2 linked regions of the Pelodiscus sinensis genome follow. The protein of the gene in region 1 purifies or fractionates together with the protein of each later gene. This does not show direct contact. Links are inferred from orthologs where the notes say so. Each region holds a gene or a part of one and is shown in the gene's direction. Other genes may lie near its edges.

Region 1 (7,487 bases):
CCCGTTGCACACCGGCCTGACATCAACAGGAAGAATCCAGCCCAGACATTGGGGTTTCCATTTCACTGCTGACCAGCGGGTGAGTGAAACAGACAAGTGTGTGTGTGCACACGCCAATCTGGGAGGAGTTTCCCACCATAATCTGCCACACCACAAAGCAGTACGGGTACGTGGACCATTGGTTGGTAGAGGGAAGAAAAGAAGTGGGTGTTACATGCAGCCGACCATCAGGAGAGCTGGATTCTATTGTTGGCTCTGCCACTGCCTTGGGGTGAGACCTTTGGCAAGTTACTTCAAGCTTTGTGCCTCACTTGGTCTGAAAACTTGGGACACATGGGGACATGGATTCCAAGGAATCCAGATACGACCTCCTATGAAATGCGGCTCGAAAACACAGGAACAATGCAGAATCTGGAAAATCACCTCAGTTCAAAACTGAGAGTAGAATCTGAAGACACCATTGGCTTTGAGTAACTGCGTCCCATCCCATTCCAGGACTCACGCAGTTAAAAAGTAGCATGTGTGCAGAGTCCCCCGGAACTGTATCATAATCAAGACATGAAAAGTTTGAGGTGGCTAACGTCTTCTTGCCAAAGCTGGGGATTAGGAGTCTGAGCAAGCAGTTAATCAAAAATAAAAGAAGAAACTTGTAAGTGACCTGACAAGGAACATTTAAATCTTATTTTTAAAGGGTTAGGTCGTACCAAGCCTTGGAAAATTAAATCCTCAGCTATCTCCAGAGAACTATATCTCACTAAAAAGGCTTCAGGTAAGTTTATCATGTATCCGACACCTAGACATTGGGCCTGGGGGATTCCTAGGATAATATTTCCTCTGGATTAGCAAGAAAGCTAGCAAGTAACATTTGCATGAGGCAAACTTTAAATGTAGGGGTTTTTTCCTATTACAAAATGATAACATTAAAAATGAGCTTATTGCAAAAGAAAACTGCTATGGCATCCCCCACTTTTATCAGGGAAAAAAGTCTCTTAACTTTGTTTCATTTGGTAACGTAACTGATTCAGTTCCAATGTTTTTGCGTGTTTTCTCCCTTCCACATTGACTACTAGCCCGAATTTCTTTTTATGAGCAATGCTGTTAACTTCTTTTATGAGCAATGCTTTTGAGTTCGGAGACCTCTGAGACTGGCATAATATGCAAGAGAAAAATTCAAGAGGGGAAGCTGTCGTAAGCATTTCTGGATTGGCTCTTCTGGAGTGGACCTCGCAACCTTCCAGGTCTTTCCTTCTTCGGCCCTGAAAAGCCAACTACTTGTCTCACTGTAAGACAATTGCTACGTCCCTGTCACCCTTGGGAAATTTTATACCAGAGGAGGTGCATACTCAGGCTGAGCCGGGTGAGCTAAGGACAGAGTTTGTACGATGTCTCTAATATTCGAGAGCCAAGGATGAGAAGTGCTTTATAGATGAAAAGGCCTTGGTCAAATCAAACTCCACCTTTAGTACATTGTGTTTTAGTGGTAGATGTGTGTAGGTAGCTACCTAACGTTCACCGGGGGGTGGGAGGAAGACAGGCACATAGCTAATGTGGCTGGTGTGCCCCTTAGTGCAGGAGACAGACTAGTTTGTGCACTTATATGACGATGCCTGTAAAGATGTCTAGGAGAACACGTACCAAGAGAACCCTGCAAATGTGCAGGTATTTGCTTTGCATCTGCAGGTAGCCGGATGTGAATACCTGCAGCTCATTTTTGCAGCTATGGATGCAGAAACCAATTTTGTACCTAGAATCCTGCAAATTTGCGGATATCCGTTTCCCATCCACGGGTATCGGATCTGCGAATGTGGATGCAAATACCCACAGCTCATTTCTGCAGATACAGATAGCAATTTTGTATCCGCCCAGAGTTCTGGGTATCAAACAGGAGGCACCTGTAGCTGCTAAAATTACACAGGAGAGGCCGCAAGACAGGACTGACCCAAACAATTCACAGATGGGAACTGAATTAGGGGAAAACCTGAGGATCAGGCATTAGATATACTGGCTTTAGAAAAGGTTCAGAGAAAGGCAACTAAAATGATGAGGGGTTTGGAACGGGTCCCATCTGAGGAGAGATTAAAGAGACTTGGACTTTTTGACCAGACTTCCCCTTAGCGTATCCGATTTTGCTTCGTCTTTTCTCACTGTTTCTTTCTAATGTAAATATTTAAGCTGAGTGTTTACTACCCAATCGGTAACGATGAGACTGCACGTGAGGCCTCCAGGAATTCTCCCCCTAGGACTGTCTGGGTGTGAACCCTTATTGTGGTTAGTTAGTCACCTTATCAGGCAACAACCTTTTATTTTAGCTACTAAGTTTCCAAGAGGATTTTTATACAGACCATTCATTTACAAGAGGGCCACAGAACAGACATGCAGCCACATTTTCCCTTAAGAGACAGACCCAGGATTCACCATGCAGAAGAGGGTACAGAGGGAGAGACCTTAGATTACGAGGGTCTCCTGTACTCTATTCAATTTGTAATAGTTTTGTTTTCCAGTGAGAAACAATGTTGCTAGGTTGGTTTAGTCTGTTTTTCACTAAGAAACTGAATAAACCCCAAAAGATTCAGTCAGGCTCTGAAGCAAATCAGAGTCCTTCCACTTACCTCAAGTACCACTGATGTTCACGGAAAGATTCCTGTTGACTTGATCGTGCCCAAAGGACATCCATATCCTTTGAGTCGGGATGACCTTTCTTTTATATGCAAAGAGCAACAAAACAAGAAGGAACAAAAATAAAGTTTCCCTGAGAGAGAGCACAGTGTGTGAGCCTCTCCTGCAGCAGCCTGTGTCCGAGCTGAGAAATTCTATGTTTTCAGTGAAAAATTTCAAACGGGGATGAAAATTTTTCACTTGGATTAAAAAATTGGTGTAAGATTTTGGACGTTTCATTCCATGAAACCCAAACGTTTGGTTTTCCATTTTCCTTCTTCCTTTTATCCTTCCCCTTGCTTTTCTTTCTGCCCCTGGAAAAGTGGGGACAAAGAAAAAAAAGCAGAGGAAGGAGAAATAAAAGACAGATGGTTTCCACTCTAAAATCATAATATTTACACACACAAACATTTCATTTTGGTCAAAAAGCTATTTTTCATTAAGGAAAAAAAAAAGTTTCAGCAAAAACATTTCAACCAACCACGGTCTGAACAAAAATAGGAGCTGCCTCTGCAATTAGAATGAAATACAAATAGAAACCAGATCAATGCTATATACAGCACACTTTACACTATAACCCAGGGCTACTCAACTTTGGAAGCTCCGGGGACAACAATGATACTCGCAGCACATGCTGAGGGCCACAACTTAAGTATGGTTGCACGTACATGCAAATATATATGCAAATTTATGCAAATAGCTTCTTTCACACTGACAGGCATGAATACAAAGATTAAGGCAAGACTACACAACACGCAGGCCCCATTTAAGTCCATTCTGCTGATATTAGTAAAATGCAATATTTACCTGATTTCCACTCATATGCCAGCACTTTTAACGAGCAATGACAGTCCAGGAATTTAACTACTAAAACGCACATCAACAGAAGACCATTATATTGACTACTTTTTTGTTTTGGCTCCCACCTGTGGGTTGTGTGTTGAGCCCCATACAAACCCAAACTGTACCACATGCCGCAAACTAACGGGCCGTGCCATGTTGAAGTCAGGAGCCTTGCTCTAATCTGTAATTGTAGGTGGCTTCACGATTCCTGTCTAGCCTCTGTCTTTTGAGATCACTCTTCAAATTCTTGCTTTTCTCCCAGTCTCTCTTTCATGCCATTGCACATCTTTTTATTTCCCCGTCTCCATACATCCCTCTCATCATGTTTCCTTTCACTTCCTCTTCTCCTGCCTTGGTTCTTTCAATAACGCTCACCCTCTTTCCCTCTCTGCTCCGCTTTCTCCCATTGTTAATTCTTTTCTTTCAGCTGCCCCCCAGCCCAGGTTTTACTTAGAACCAGCTGGTCTGAAATCTTTCAAAACAAAACCCCAAACAAACAAACAGGTATTCAGAGAGCGCTGTTGATCCGCTGATTGTGAAACACACCTGGTATGCAGTACCTTTGCTTTGCAGCCAGCTCTGCCTTAGGGCTTGTCTATACTTACTTTAGGATCCATGGTCCGGGGATGTAAGAAAAGAATGGAATCAGTTACAGGGATCCCCACAATGGGACCAGAAACAATTCAGAGCTCAGGTAAAGGCAGATTAAAGATTCCAGGAGGTTACGTGCATTAAAACTGTCTCCTGACACATCAGGAGGACAACAGATCCCACATTTGCTTTCCAAAAATGATGCCGGATGGATGTTTTACAGGTCGGGCTGGGAAGGTGTGGAAAGAAGACGGACAAATCAGTACCGGCTTGCCCACTGCAACCTTCCCCATCCCACCCACGGCTCTTCAGCCATGGCAGCGAGTCATCGTGATGTCACAGTTCAGCCCAGTTGTGTGCCGGGTCTGAGCCCCGGGGCGAGTAATCAAGCAAGAAGGTTTGGCTTTAAACGGCCTTTTCAGCTGAGGCTGCCCAAGGGCTGTGACCCGCAATGTGAGCGCGCCCCACAGGAGCGGTGGAAAGATGATAGCACAGCTGGCCACGATGGGGACGGCTCCCACACAGGACCAGACCCTGGATCCCCTCCCAAATATTGTAACCAGGTAACACTCTCTAGTCCCGTGGGAACTGCTGAAGGGGTGGCTGGCAGGGAAACATTTAGAAAAGCTGGCTCACTCCTGCTCCACTGACCCATCGGGTTGAGAACATTGTGGAAGGCAGAACTCCAGATTAGGGGGACCAATAATCCCATCCGGTGCATCAATCCTATGCCCTTTGTGGCCTTATGGGATTTCTCCCCTTCAGCGGGGTCCTTTTAGCCTCCCTCAGAGCTCCAAGACTGCCTGTCATTTCTCTTCCTTGACTGCACATTCACACTTCCCACCATTAGCCCACTGTAGCATGCAGAGTTTTGGGGACTTATTCATGATATTTATGCCTGTTTTGAATCAATTTTGCAATGTAGCCTGTCCAAGAGCTCATATACACACCTGCCTCTAGAATTTACCTCATGAGTACGCACCTCTAGACATGAGTCTACTCCACGTTGATTAGAAGGCTGCTCCAGCTAAGGAATCTGAGTTGGTTGGTTCCCGAGACAAGGTTTCAAAGGCCTGTTGTGTCTTAATGTTCTACAGAAAAACGAAAGATACAAGAAAATTACAGGGAATCATCACAGTTTTCTAATTATATACGGCCATACAAAGTCTAAATACCTGTATATCCTGCTTCTCTGCTGGATTCTGGCGACTACTGCAATAAAAGGCAGGAAGTCCTATTAGAAGGCTCCCAAACTAGTTACCCCTCAATGCTGATACATTAGACTAATGAACATAAGAACATAAGAACGGCCGTACTGGGTCAGACCAAAGGTCCATCTAGCCCAGTAGCCTGTCTACCGACAGTGGCCAGCACCAGGTGCCCCAGAGAGGGTGGACCGAAGACAATGATCAAGCGATTTGTCTCCTGCCATCCCTCTCCAGCCTCTGACAAACAGAGGCCAAGGACACCATTTTATCCCCTGGCTAATAGCCTTTTATGGACCTAACCTCCATGAATTTATCCAGCTTCTCTTTAAACTCTATTGGCCGAAAGGCTTTACAATCTGAGACAGATAGGAGAAGATATGGGGCAACAGGTAAGGTAGAGGAGGCTGTAGCAAGATTATTGGTGAGAGGAAGTTAGGAATGAAGGAAGAGTAGGACACAATTCACACTAGACGTTGGTAGCATTGCTGCTAGGTCAGAGCCGCATACTGCAGCCAGCAGCAAGGGACGGAGGCTGAATCAGAAACTTGATGTTATACATATTTTTAAGAGCTGTTTCTGTTTTGCGGGGTCATAATGACAGAAAACCCAACTTTTCATGGGGAATTTTGGAAAGTCCGCACCAGACTTCAAGCAGAATGGGGGTTAATTTTCTTTGCTGGAAGGAAAAAAAAGGACCTGGAACTATGCAGCTAAGAACCCACCCTGCTTTATTAGAATCTGGCTGGGAACCCTGGTTATCCAAAGTCGCCTTCTGATTGATGAGCTGGGGCTTTTTCATGATGCCACGGCTGTGAACCAACTCTCAAAAGCACACAGCTGGGACTCATCCCTGCTTTCCCCCCAGCAACAACACTTACACGCATGAGGTGCAATTTGCGACGTGAGAAACTCTGATGATAAGCAGCAATAATGTGGGCACGAAGAGATTTGCGGGGGAAAGCAAAGGAGAACAAGTGAAAGCTTTTAACTGTCAGGCTCCCCTTCCAGCAGCAACTGAGGTCCTGTCAGTGTAAAAGCTAAATTAGAACACTAAATTAGTGTCTAAATGCACTTTTTGATAAAAGAAAGTGAATTCATACTAGCTGTTGGCCCACAAAAGGCTGCTGAAAAGGCAGCTGGGTTTCTGGCCTTATGTTGGCACTTTCCCAAACAAATGTATCTTCTCTTATTAGCACTGTGAAATGAATATTGGCATCTTTCCTCGTGTGGCACGGGCATAGTCAGAACAGAACCTAGAAGGGTTGACATTTTAAAAAAGATTGTACAGGTTGAACCTCTCTAATCTGGCATTCTCTGGTCTGGCAACATCCGTGGTCCAGCATGATTTGAGTTAGCCGGATGGCCACGTATTGGGGCAGCCAAGTTTCCCACAGTCCCATAAAGTTTACAGCCGCCAGGCCTGGCTCTCAGTGTTCTGTACTGTTATTTAGCTCTAATTTACCCCTAAATGTCTTCTGAGAGCCCAGCAAGTAGGGGAAGTGTTGGTAATGCTGCTAGACAATATTGACCTCTCGTGGTTTTGCAAATTCTCTGGTTCAACATTGGTCAGATCCATGAGGGTGCCGGATTAGAGAGGTTCAACCTGTATTTGCCAAATTATCCCAATTTGCGTAAAAATGCCCACACGTTTTGCAAGATGTTTTGCAACATCATGCTCTTGGTATTCACCAGAAGCTGGAAGTGGATAACCAGGGATATGTCATTCAATAATTGCCCTGTTCTGTTCATTCCCCCTGAAGCACCTGGCATTGGCCACTGTTGGAAGACAGGATTCTAGGCCAGATGGACACAAGTCTGACCAAGTATGGCTGTTCTTATGTAATATTGGGGCTATGGTGCTTTGGTAAGCCATGCCTTCACTACCTGTTGGATTGATAAGCAGTGATTGATCCAGCAGCGGTCAATTTAGCATGTCTAGTACAGACACGATAAATCAACCACCGAACACTTTCCCATTGATTCTGGTACTCCACCAAAACGAGAAGAGTAGGCAAGTGGAAAAGAGAATCAGCTGTTGAATTACTGCACTGAAGATACAGTGGTAATTAAATCTAAGTACCTCGACTTCAGCTACATTATTCACACAACTGAAGTTGTGTCACTTAGCTTGAAGACCCCAGGGAGTATAAACAAGGCCTCAGACTACCTCGTTAGGGCTTACAGTCTCCA
Region 2 (7,905 bases), on another chromosome or scaffold:
TGCCCCAAGGCTCGGTTCCAGGGCTGGTTTTGTTCAATATCTTTATTAGTGACCTGGCTGAGGGGATGGATTGCACCCTCAGCAAGTTTGCACATGACACTAAGCTGGGGGAGAGGTAGATACGCTGGAGGGCAGGGAGAGGGTCCAGAGGGACCTAGACGGGTTAGAGACTTGAGCCAAAAGAAACCTGATGAGGTTCAACAAGGACAAGTGCAGAGTCCTGCCCTTGGGACGGAAGAATCCCAAGAATTGGTACAGGCTGGGACCGACTGGCTAAGTAGCAGTTCTGCAGAAAAGGACCTGGGGGTTACAGTGGATGAGAAGCTGGATATGAGTCACCAGGGCGCCCTTGTAGCCAAGAAGGCTAATGGCATATTAGGTGCATTAGGAGGAGCATTGCCAGCAGATCCAGAGATGTCATCATTCCCCTTTATTCGGCTCTGGTGAGGCCACATCTGGAGTGTTGTGTCCAGTTCTGGGGCCCCCACTACAAAAAGGATGTGGACGCATTGGAGAGGGTCCAGCGGAGGCAACCAAAATGATTAGGGGCCTGGAGCACATGACCTATGAGGAGAGGCTGAGGGATTTGGGTCTGTTTAGTCTGCAGAAGCGAAGAGTGAGGGGGGATTTGAGAGCAGCCTTCAACTTCCTGAAGGGAGGTTCCAAAGAGGATGGAGAGAGGCTGTTCTCAGTGGTAGCAGAAGCAGAACAAGGAGCAATGGGTCTAGTTGCAGTGGGGAAGGTCCAGGTTGGATATTAGGAAAAACGATTTCCCTAGGCGGGTGGGGAAGCCCTGTGCTGGGTTCCCTGGGGTGTTACCCACCACCTCTGTGATTCTTGGGGAACCAGAACATGGTCGCCTGTCAGCCTTGTGCTCTTGGGGAGTCAGGGAGTGACATTCATGGAAAACCATCCCCCTCCCTCAGGCCTCTGCTAGAATCAAAGACAAAGCAAAGAAAAGGCCAGGGAAGACACACCTAAACTGCTTCAGACAAGGGTGATACAATTAAGGAAACACCCCAGCCTCATTTGCATTAAAGATGGAACAGAGGGACATCTCATTAGCATACAGAATGGAGAGCAGCTCTTCCAAGGCAGGAACCGCACTGAACTATGGGACACCGAAAGCAGAGAAGCACTGCCTGATGGGAAATCCCTGCTCCAGATGCTAATGAACCTAGGCCTGCTCACACCCAAATTAGTCATTATCAGACCAATTCTAGTAACGATCCTATTGACATCTAAAATACTGAAACTGCCTAGTTGCATTGTGAGCTCGTTCAAGGAACATCCCCCATAACCAGGGGTGATCAGTCTCTATTGTCTCTCCTCTTTCTCTTTGAACTATCCCTATAAAAACTCCTGTCCTTGTCCCAAGAAAACTGTTCTGATACCTGGACTTAAACTGCATCAGTTCCATTGAGACTTCTTCATCTCCTGTCTGATCGTGCTGGGGGCTCTGTCCTGCTTTTCTCCTGCCCTCTGGACCCCCGGCTACCATCATCATCTGGGAACCCCGATCAGTGCAAGCTCCGTGGAGTGGTGAGGTCTCTCTCTCTCTCTCTTTCTCTCTCTCTCTCTCAACTATCTCTCTGAGCATAGCCTCCTGACCCTGCCCTGTGTAAACTGTTATATGGTTACCTAACATTTGTAAGCAGCTTCAATTTAGATTTAATATTGTAATTGTTAGATTTAATATTGTAACTGTTTGATATCTATTCACTACTCAGAAATAAATCACTTTCATTGTTAAGCTGGTTGCTTCTCTCTCTTTCTTTCTCTTTTGCTCACTCTTCCTTAAGGGGTGTGGTTTTGACTTCCCCATTCGCTCTGCAACAACGCTTCTTGTACCCAAGCAAAAGATCCCTGTAGTGCCCAAAATCCTGTGGGGTTTGCTCATCGTGTGGTTTACCAGTGAATGACTGTGGTGTGAAAGTGGGGATAGGGGGTGCTGAACCTGGGGGCTTATGAGGATGGCAGCTTAAAGTGCTGTTTAATCCAGCCCATGGAGTCCAAAGGCACATGAGGGTGCAGTGTGGCATTGCTGTGAAACCCAGCCAGCTGAGTCCAGGGACATAGGAGGGGGTCAGCTTGTGAGTGCTGAGTACCCAGTCCTCTCAGACGTGCTCTGACTAGTGTGTGTGAGTGTCTGTGTGTGTTGCTAAGGTGGGAAGAACCCCATCCTGAGGAACCTAGTTCCTGCAGGAGAGCTCCAGTGGGAGGGGGAATTGGCAGCAGGGAGAATTCAGCTCCATATGAGAGCCCCAGTAAGCACCAACAGCACACTGATAGAACTGTTAACCTTCCCCCAGTCCCATAAGGGTAACCCTGATAAATGAGCATACCCCAGAGTATTGGGCAAATCTGGTAACAGGGGAGGGGGTGGAGTCTCCATCCTTAGGGGTGTTTAAGTCCTGGCTGGACCAAGCCTGGCTGGGCTGATTGAATTGGGGCTGGTCCGGCTTTGGGCAGGGGCTGGACTCGATGCCTCCTGAGGTCTCTTCCATTCCTGGGGTTCTATGAGGCGCACGCACAGACACACGCACACAGAGTCACTACAGAACAGGGCACTGGCATCACGTGCCACAGTGAACACGCACCCAGAGTGAGCACGGGGACTGCAAGAGCGCCCCCGATCCCCGCTGCCTCGCCAATGAGAAGCCCAAGAAGAAGGACGGTCAGTTCCCCGCAGTCGAGCCCTGGTCTCTTCAGTGGGAGCGTGTAACTTCCAGCCCTGGGGGTTTGTCGCACGCCTGCACTCGGGCGCCTACACCCCCACCTCCCTTGCAGCCCGTCGCTCCAGGCGTGTCTGTGCCACACAGGTCCAACGCCGGCCTGCTGCTAAGAGCCGACGGTGCAAACAGGCCTGTGAACACAAAGCCTCCGCCCCCGCACGAGGCCTTCGCTGTGTCAGCAGCAGAGCGCGCCCGCTGACCACGCAGCGCTCGCATGTTCGGCAAAGCGCTGCGGCTCCTGGGGGCCTTTGCCGATCACGGACAAGGGGGCCCAATCCAAGCCAAACCGGCGTTTACATTCGGGGGGAACGGCGACGGGGCACGCGGGTAGGCGGCGCTGCCAGGAATTTACCACCAGCTCTGCCCCCGCCAGAGGCCAGGCTCCCACGCTGACGATGGGCGTTCAGAAAGGTGGCACTGAAAGTTGTGGCTGGACACCCGAGGGGGGTGCCGTACCCCTGCTGCACGGCACCCGCCTTCTGCCCTGCCGCTCGCCATCCAGCCGGGGGTGGCGGACGTCCGCGGGGAGAACACGGGCTGCAGAGCCGGGACCCAGGCGAGCTGGCAGAAGATGGCTCTGGCGCCCTGCCCGAGGCGGAAGCACCTTCCAGCAGCTGAGAGTGGCGAGGGGCAGAGCTTGTGCTCAGAAGTCTTAAAAAAGGAGCATCCAGTGTGGAAACCAGAGCTCGGGGGCCCCGAAAGGGGAGCTCTGTCCTGCGGGGGGCAGACCGGACGCTGGACAGCAGTGGGCAAGCGCCAGCCACGCTGCGGTGGAGCCTGACGCCCACGTGTGCCCCAGGGTGCACCCGCCAGTGGCAGGGCTGGGGCACCCGGTGGCGCCCCTGCTTCTCTGACCCTCCAGGGCCCTTGAAAGGGAGCGAGGAGCAGGGGCTGTGTGACCGGAGCCCAGGGCGCTAGTCCAGGGCTGGCACTTAGGGATGGACCCCAGCTGCCATGCTTTGGGTGCTTCCCCCCCCCCCGTGTAAATGTGTGGGGCCTGGCGTGGCGCAGCCTTCAGTCGGGGGTGAGGCTGGGGGTCAGGGTAGGGCGCTGGCTCCCGTGTGTGGGGCTGTCTGGGCTGGGCTCCTGCTCCGGGCATGGGGACCTCAGCTCGGGTTCCCCCCCCCCGGCCAAAACTGCGAGAGCAGAGCTGCACCCTGGCTCCCTGGGACGTGGCGCCCTGGCCCCCCGCCAGCATGGTGCTGGGTGGCCCTGGGAGCCCAGAGCTTGCAGAGCCTGGGGCCCAAGCCGGGCCCCGTCCCCCGGGCTGAGAGCCCAGGAGCACCGGCCGGGGGCTGCCGAGCCACCGCCCTGGAGGTGCTGAGAGTGGCAAGGCCTTGGCACAGCCCATGGGGGAACGAAGGGCTGGAGTGTGCGAGGTCCCTGCTCCTCCCCCCCTGCCCCTGGAGCGGGGTCCTTGCCCCTCCCCCCACACCCTGGAGCGGGGTCCTTGCCCCTCCCCCCACACCCTGGAGCGGGATCCTTGCCCCTCCCCCCATACCCTGGAGCGGGGTCCTTGCCCCTGCCCCTCCCCCCATACCCTGGAGCGGGGTCCTTGCCCCTCCCCCCATACCCTGGAGCGGGATCCTTGCCCCTCCCCCCATGCCCCTGGAGCGGGGTCCTTGCCCCTCCCCCCATACCCCTGGAGCGGGATCCTTGCCCCTCCCCCCATACCCCTGGAGCGGGATCCTTGCCCCTCCCCCCATGCCCCTGGAGCGGGGTCCTTGCCCCTCCCCCCATTCCCCTGGAGCGGGGTCCTTGCCCCTCCCCCCATACCTCTGGAGCGGGGTCCTTGCCCCTCCCCCCATGCCCCTGGAGCGGGATCCTTGCCCCTCCCCCCATGCCCCTGGAGCGGGGTCCTTGCCCCTCCCCCCATACCCTGGAGCGGGGTCCTTGCCCCTGCCCCTCCCCCCATACCCTGGAGCGGGGTCCTTGCCCCTCCCCCCATACTCTGGAGCGGGATCCTTGCCCCTCCCCCCATACCCTGGAGCGGGTCCCTCGCGGCGGGGACACGCCAGCCCCTTGGGGACCCTCCCGAGCGCCGGGGCGGGGCGGGACAAAGCCGGACTACAGCTCCCGGCATGCCCGGGCGGGGGGGGGGCGGTCCGTGCCCCCCGCAACCCGCCCCGCCCGCCGCGCGCAGGGCGTTCCGAGCCGGCCGGGCGCGCAGCACCCAGCGCAGCGCAGCGCACCGAGCGAGCGGGGCTGCGGGCTGCGGGATGCGCCGGGCCGGGGGCGCTGCGCCTAGTCCCGTCCGCTCCTGACAAAGGGAGGGTGGAGCCGGCGGGCAGGGAAGCGCAGCAGCCGCCGCAGCGCAGCGCCCCGCCCGGCCCCCGCGCCCGCTCCTGCCCCGGCCCCCGCCCCCAGCCCGCTCCTGCCCCGGCCCCCGCCCCGCGCCCGCTCCTGCCCCGGCCCCCGCCCGCCATGGCCGGCAGAGCCCGGCCCAGCGAGGCCCTCAAGGTCGTGGCTCGCTGCCGCCCCATGAGCCGGAAGGAGGCGGCGGCCGGCGCCGAGAGGGTCCTGGAGATGGACGTGAAGCTGGGCCAGGTGACCCTGCGCAACCCCCGGGCCGCCCCCGGCGAGCTGGCCAAGACCTTCACCTTCGACGCCGTGTACGACGCCAGCTCCAGGCAGGCCGACCTGTACGACGAGAGCGTCCGGCCCCTGATCGACTCCGTCCTGCAGGGCTTCAACGGCACCATCCTCGCCTACGGCCAGACGGGCACGGGCAAGACCTACACCATGCAGGGGGCCTGGGCCGACCCCGAGAAGCGCGGGGTCATCCCCAGCTCCTTCGAGCACGTCTTCACCCACATCTCGCGCTCCCACAACCAGCAGTACCTGGTGCGGGCCTCCTACCTGGAGATCTACCAGGAGGAGATCCGGGACCTCCTGGCGAAGGACCAGAGCAAGAAGCTGGAGCTGAAGGAGAACCCGGAGACGGGCGTCTACATCAAAGACCTCTCCTCCTTCGTGACCAAGAGCGTCAAGGAGATCGAGCACGTCATGAACCTGGGCAGCCAGGCCCGGGCGGTGGGCAGCACCAACATGAACGAGCACAGCTCGCGCTCCCACGCCATCTTCGCCATCACGGTGGAGTGCAGCCAGGCCGGCCCGGACGGGGAGGACCACATCCGCGTGGGCAAGCTCAACCTGGTGGACTTGGCAGGCAGCGAGCGCCAGAGCAAAATGGGGGGGCCCGGGGAGCGGCCCAAGGAGGCCTCCAAGATTAACCTCTCCCTCTCGGCGCTGGGCAACGTCATCTCGGCGCTGGTGGACGGCAAGAGCACCCACGTGCCCTACAGAGACTCCAAGCTGACCCGGCTCCTGCAGGACTCCCTGGGCGGCAACGCCAAGACCCTCATGGTGGCCACCCTGGGCCCCGCCTCGCACAGCTACGAGGAGAGCCTGTCCACGCTGCGCTTCGCCAGCCGGGCCAAGAACATCCGCAACAAGCCCCGGGTCAACGAGGACCCCAAGGACACGCTGCTGCGGGAGTTCCAGGAGGAGATCGCCCGGCTCAAGGCCCAGCTGGAGCGCCGGGGCATGCTGGGCAGGAAGCGCAGGCGGAGCAGCCGCAGGAAGAAGGTGGCGGTGGGGGAGGCCGCCCCGGAGGCGGGCGGGGACGAGGACACGGAGGACGGGCTGGAGAAGTACTTGCAGGAGCAGGAGGAGCGGCTGGAGGAGGAGAAGGCGGCAATCCAGGGGGACCACAGCCTGGTGTGCGAGGAGAAGCAGAAGATGATTGAGGAGCTGAGGAGGGAGCAAGAGGCCACCGAGCTGCTGGCCACAAAGTACAAGGTGAGTGTCGGTGTGCTGGGGGGCTGCTTCCCTGGGCGGGCCGGGCGCTGGAGCCTGGGGGCCGGGCCGGGCGCTGGAGCCTGGGGGCCGGGCCGGGTGCTGGAGCCTGGGGGCCGGGCCTGTTTCCCTGGGCGGGCCGGGCGCTGGAGCCTGGGATCCAGGCTGGGCGCTGGAGCCTGGAGGCCGGGCGCAGGGCCTTTTTCCCTGGGCGGGCCGGGCCGGGCGCTGGAGCCTGGGGTCCAGGCTGGGCGCTGGAGCCTGGAGGCCGGGCGCAGGGCCTTTTTCCCTGGGCGGGCCGGGCCGGGCGCTGGAGCCTGGGGGCCGGGCCTGTTTCCCTGGGCGGGCCGGGCGCTGGAGCCTGGGATCCAGGCTGGGCGCTGGAGCCTGGAGGCTGGGCGCAGGGCCTTTTTCCCTGGGCGGGCCGGGCCGGGCGCTGGAGCCTGGGGTCCAGGCTGGGCGCTGGAGCCTGGAGGCCGGGCGCAGGGCCTTTTTCCCTGGGCGGGCCGGGCTGGGCGCTGGAGCCTGGGGTCCAGGCTGGGCGCTGGAGCCTGGGGGCCAGGCGCGGGGCCTGTTTCCCTGGGCGGGCCGGGCCGGGCGCTGGAGCCTGGGGGCCGGGCCGGGCGCTGGAGCCTGGGGGCCGGGCCGGGCGGTGCACCTGCAGCGTTGGGCTTGTTTACGTGCTGCGCTGCCGTGGGTCCCTGGACAGCGCCCTGCTGTTGGCTGCCTGGCGTGGCCCCACTCACTGGGGCGGGCTGGGGGCGCAGGGTGGGCTGAGTTCGTCAGGGCCGTCAGGCGTCCTGGCCCCGCTCCCTCCTGCCGACGTGCTGGCAGCGCCGGGGCCGGGGATGCTGCAGACGCCCCGGGAGGGGAGCTCCCAGCTGGGCACGGAGCCAGTGGGAGCCCCAGGCCCTCTGCCTCCCTATTGTCTCCCGCTGGGAGGTGCCGCCAGGCGCTGCCGCTCGGCTCTGGGGCCCGGTGTCCCTGCTGCAGCCTGGGGAGCCCAGGGGTCCCCGTGTCCTCCTGCCCCCCCAGCTCACAACGGTCCTGGGGGGAGGCGGCTCGTGTTACGCAGCCCTGGCCGGAGACTCACACCGACTGCCCCGCGGGGGCAGAGACCAGGCAGCTTGTGGCTCCGTGGTAGGGACTGTGGATCTGGGGCGTGGCACATGGCACAGCCCCCCCAGCATGCTGCACTGTGCAGAGTGGGGGGCATGTGGCTTGCAGCACAGTCCCCTCCCCCCCCAGCATGCTGCACTGTGCAGAGTGGGGGGGGCATGTGGCTTGCAGCACAGTCCCCTCCCCCCCCAGCATGCTGCACTGTGCAGAGTGGGGGGCATGTGGCTTGCAGCACAGTCCCCTCCCCCCCAGC

The links.
Region 2: the proteins of KIFAP3 (region 1) and KIF3C purify together in Homo sapiens (co-immunoprecipitation; 3 studies listed by BioGRID and IntAct, counting the BioPlex papers as one, with this or other methods). This does not show direct contact. The link is inferred for Pelodiscus sinensis from reciprocal best matches to the Homo sapiens genes KIFAP3 and KIF3C.

The regions. Positions count from the first base shown.
Region 1 is NC_134719.1:63,602,824-63,610,310, reverse strand, and holds the start of KIFAP3 (kinesin-associated protein 3), read left to right. Parts: upstream 1-4,475; 5' UTR 4,476-4,572; coding exon 4,573-4,652; intron 4,653-5,071; exon of another isoform or gene 5,072-5,180; intron 5,181-5,264; exon of another isoform or gene 5,265-5,301; intron 5,302-7,487. UniProt on the Homo sapiens protein: Involved in tethering the chromosomes to the spindle pole and in chromosome movement. Binds to the tail domain of the KIF3A/KIF3B heterodimer to form a heterotrimeric KIF3 complex and may regulate the membrane binding of this complex.
Region 2 is NC_134713.1:157,821-165,725, forward strand, and holds the start of KIF3C (kinesin-like protein KIF3C), read left to right. Parts: upstream 1-4,869; 5' UTR 4,870-5,159; coding exon 5,160-6,536; intron 6,537-7,905.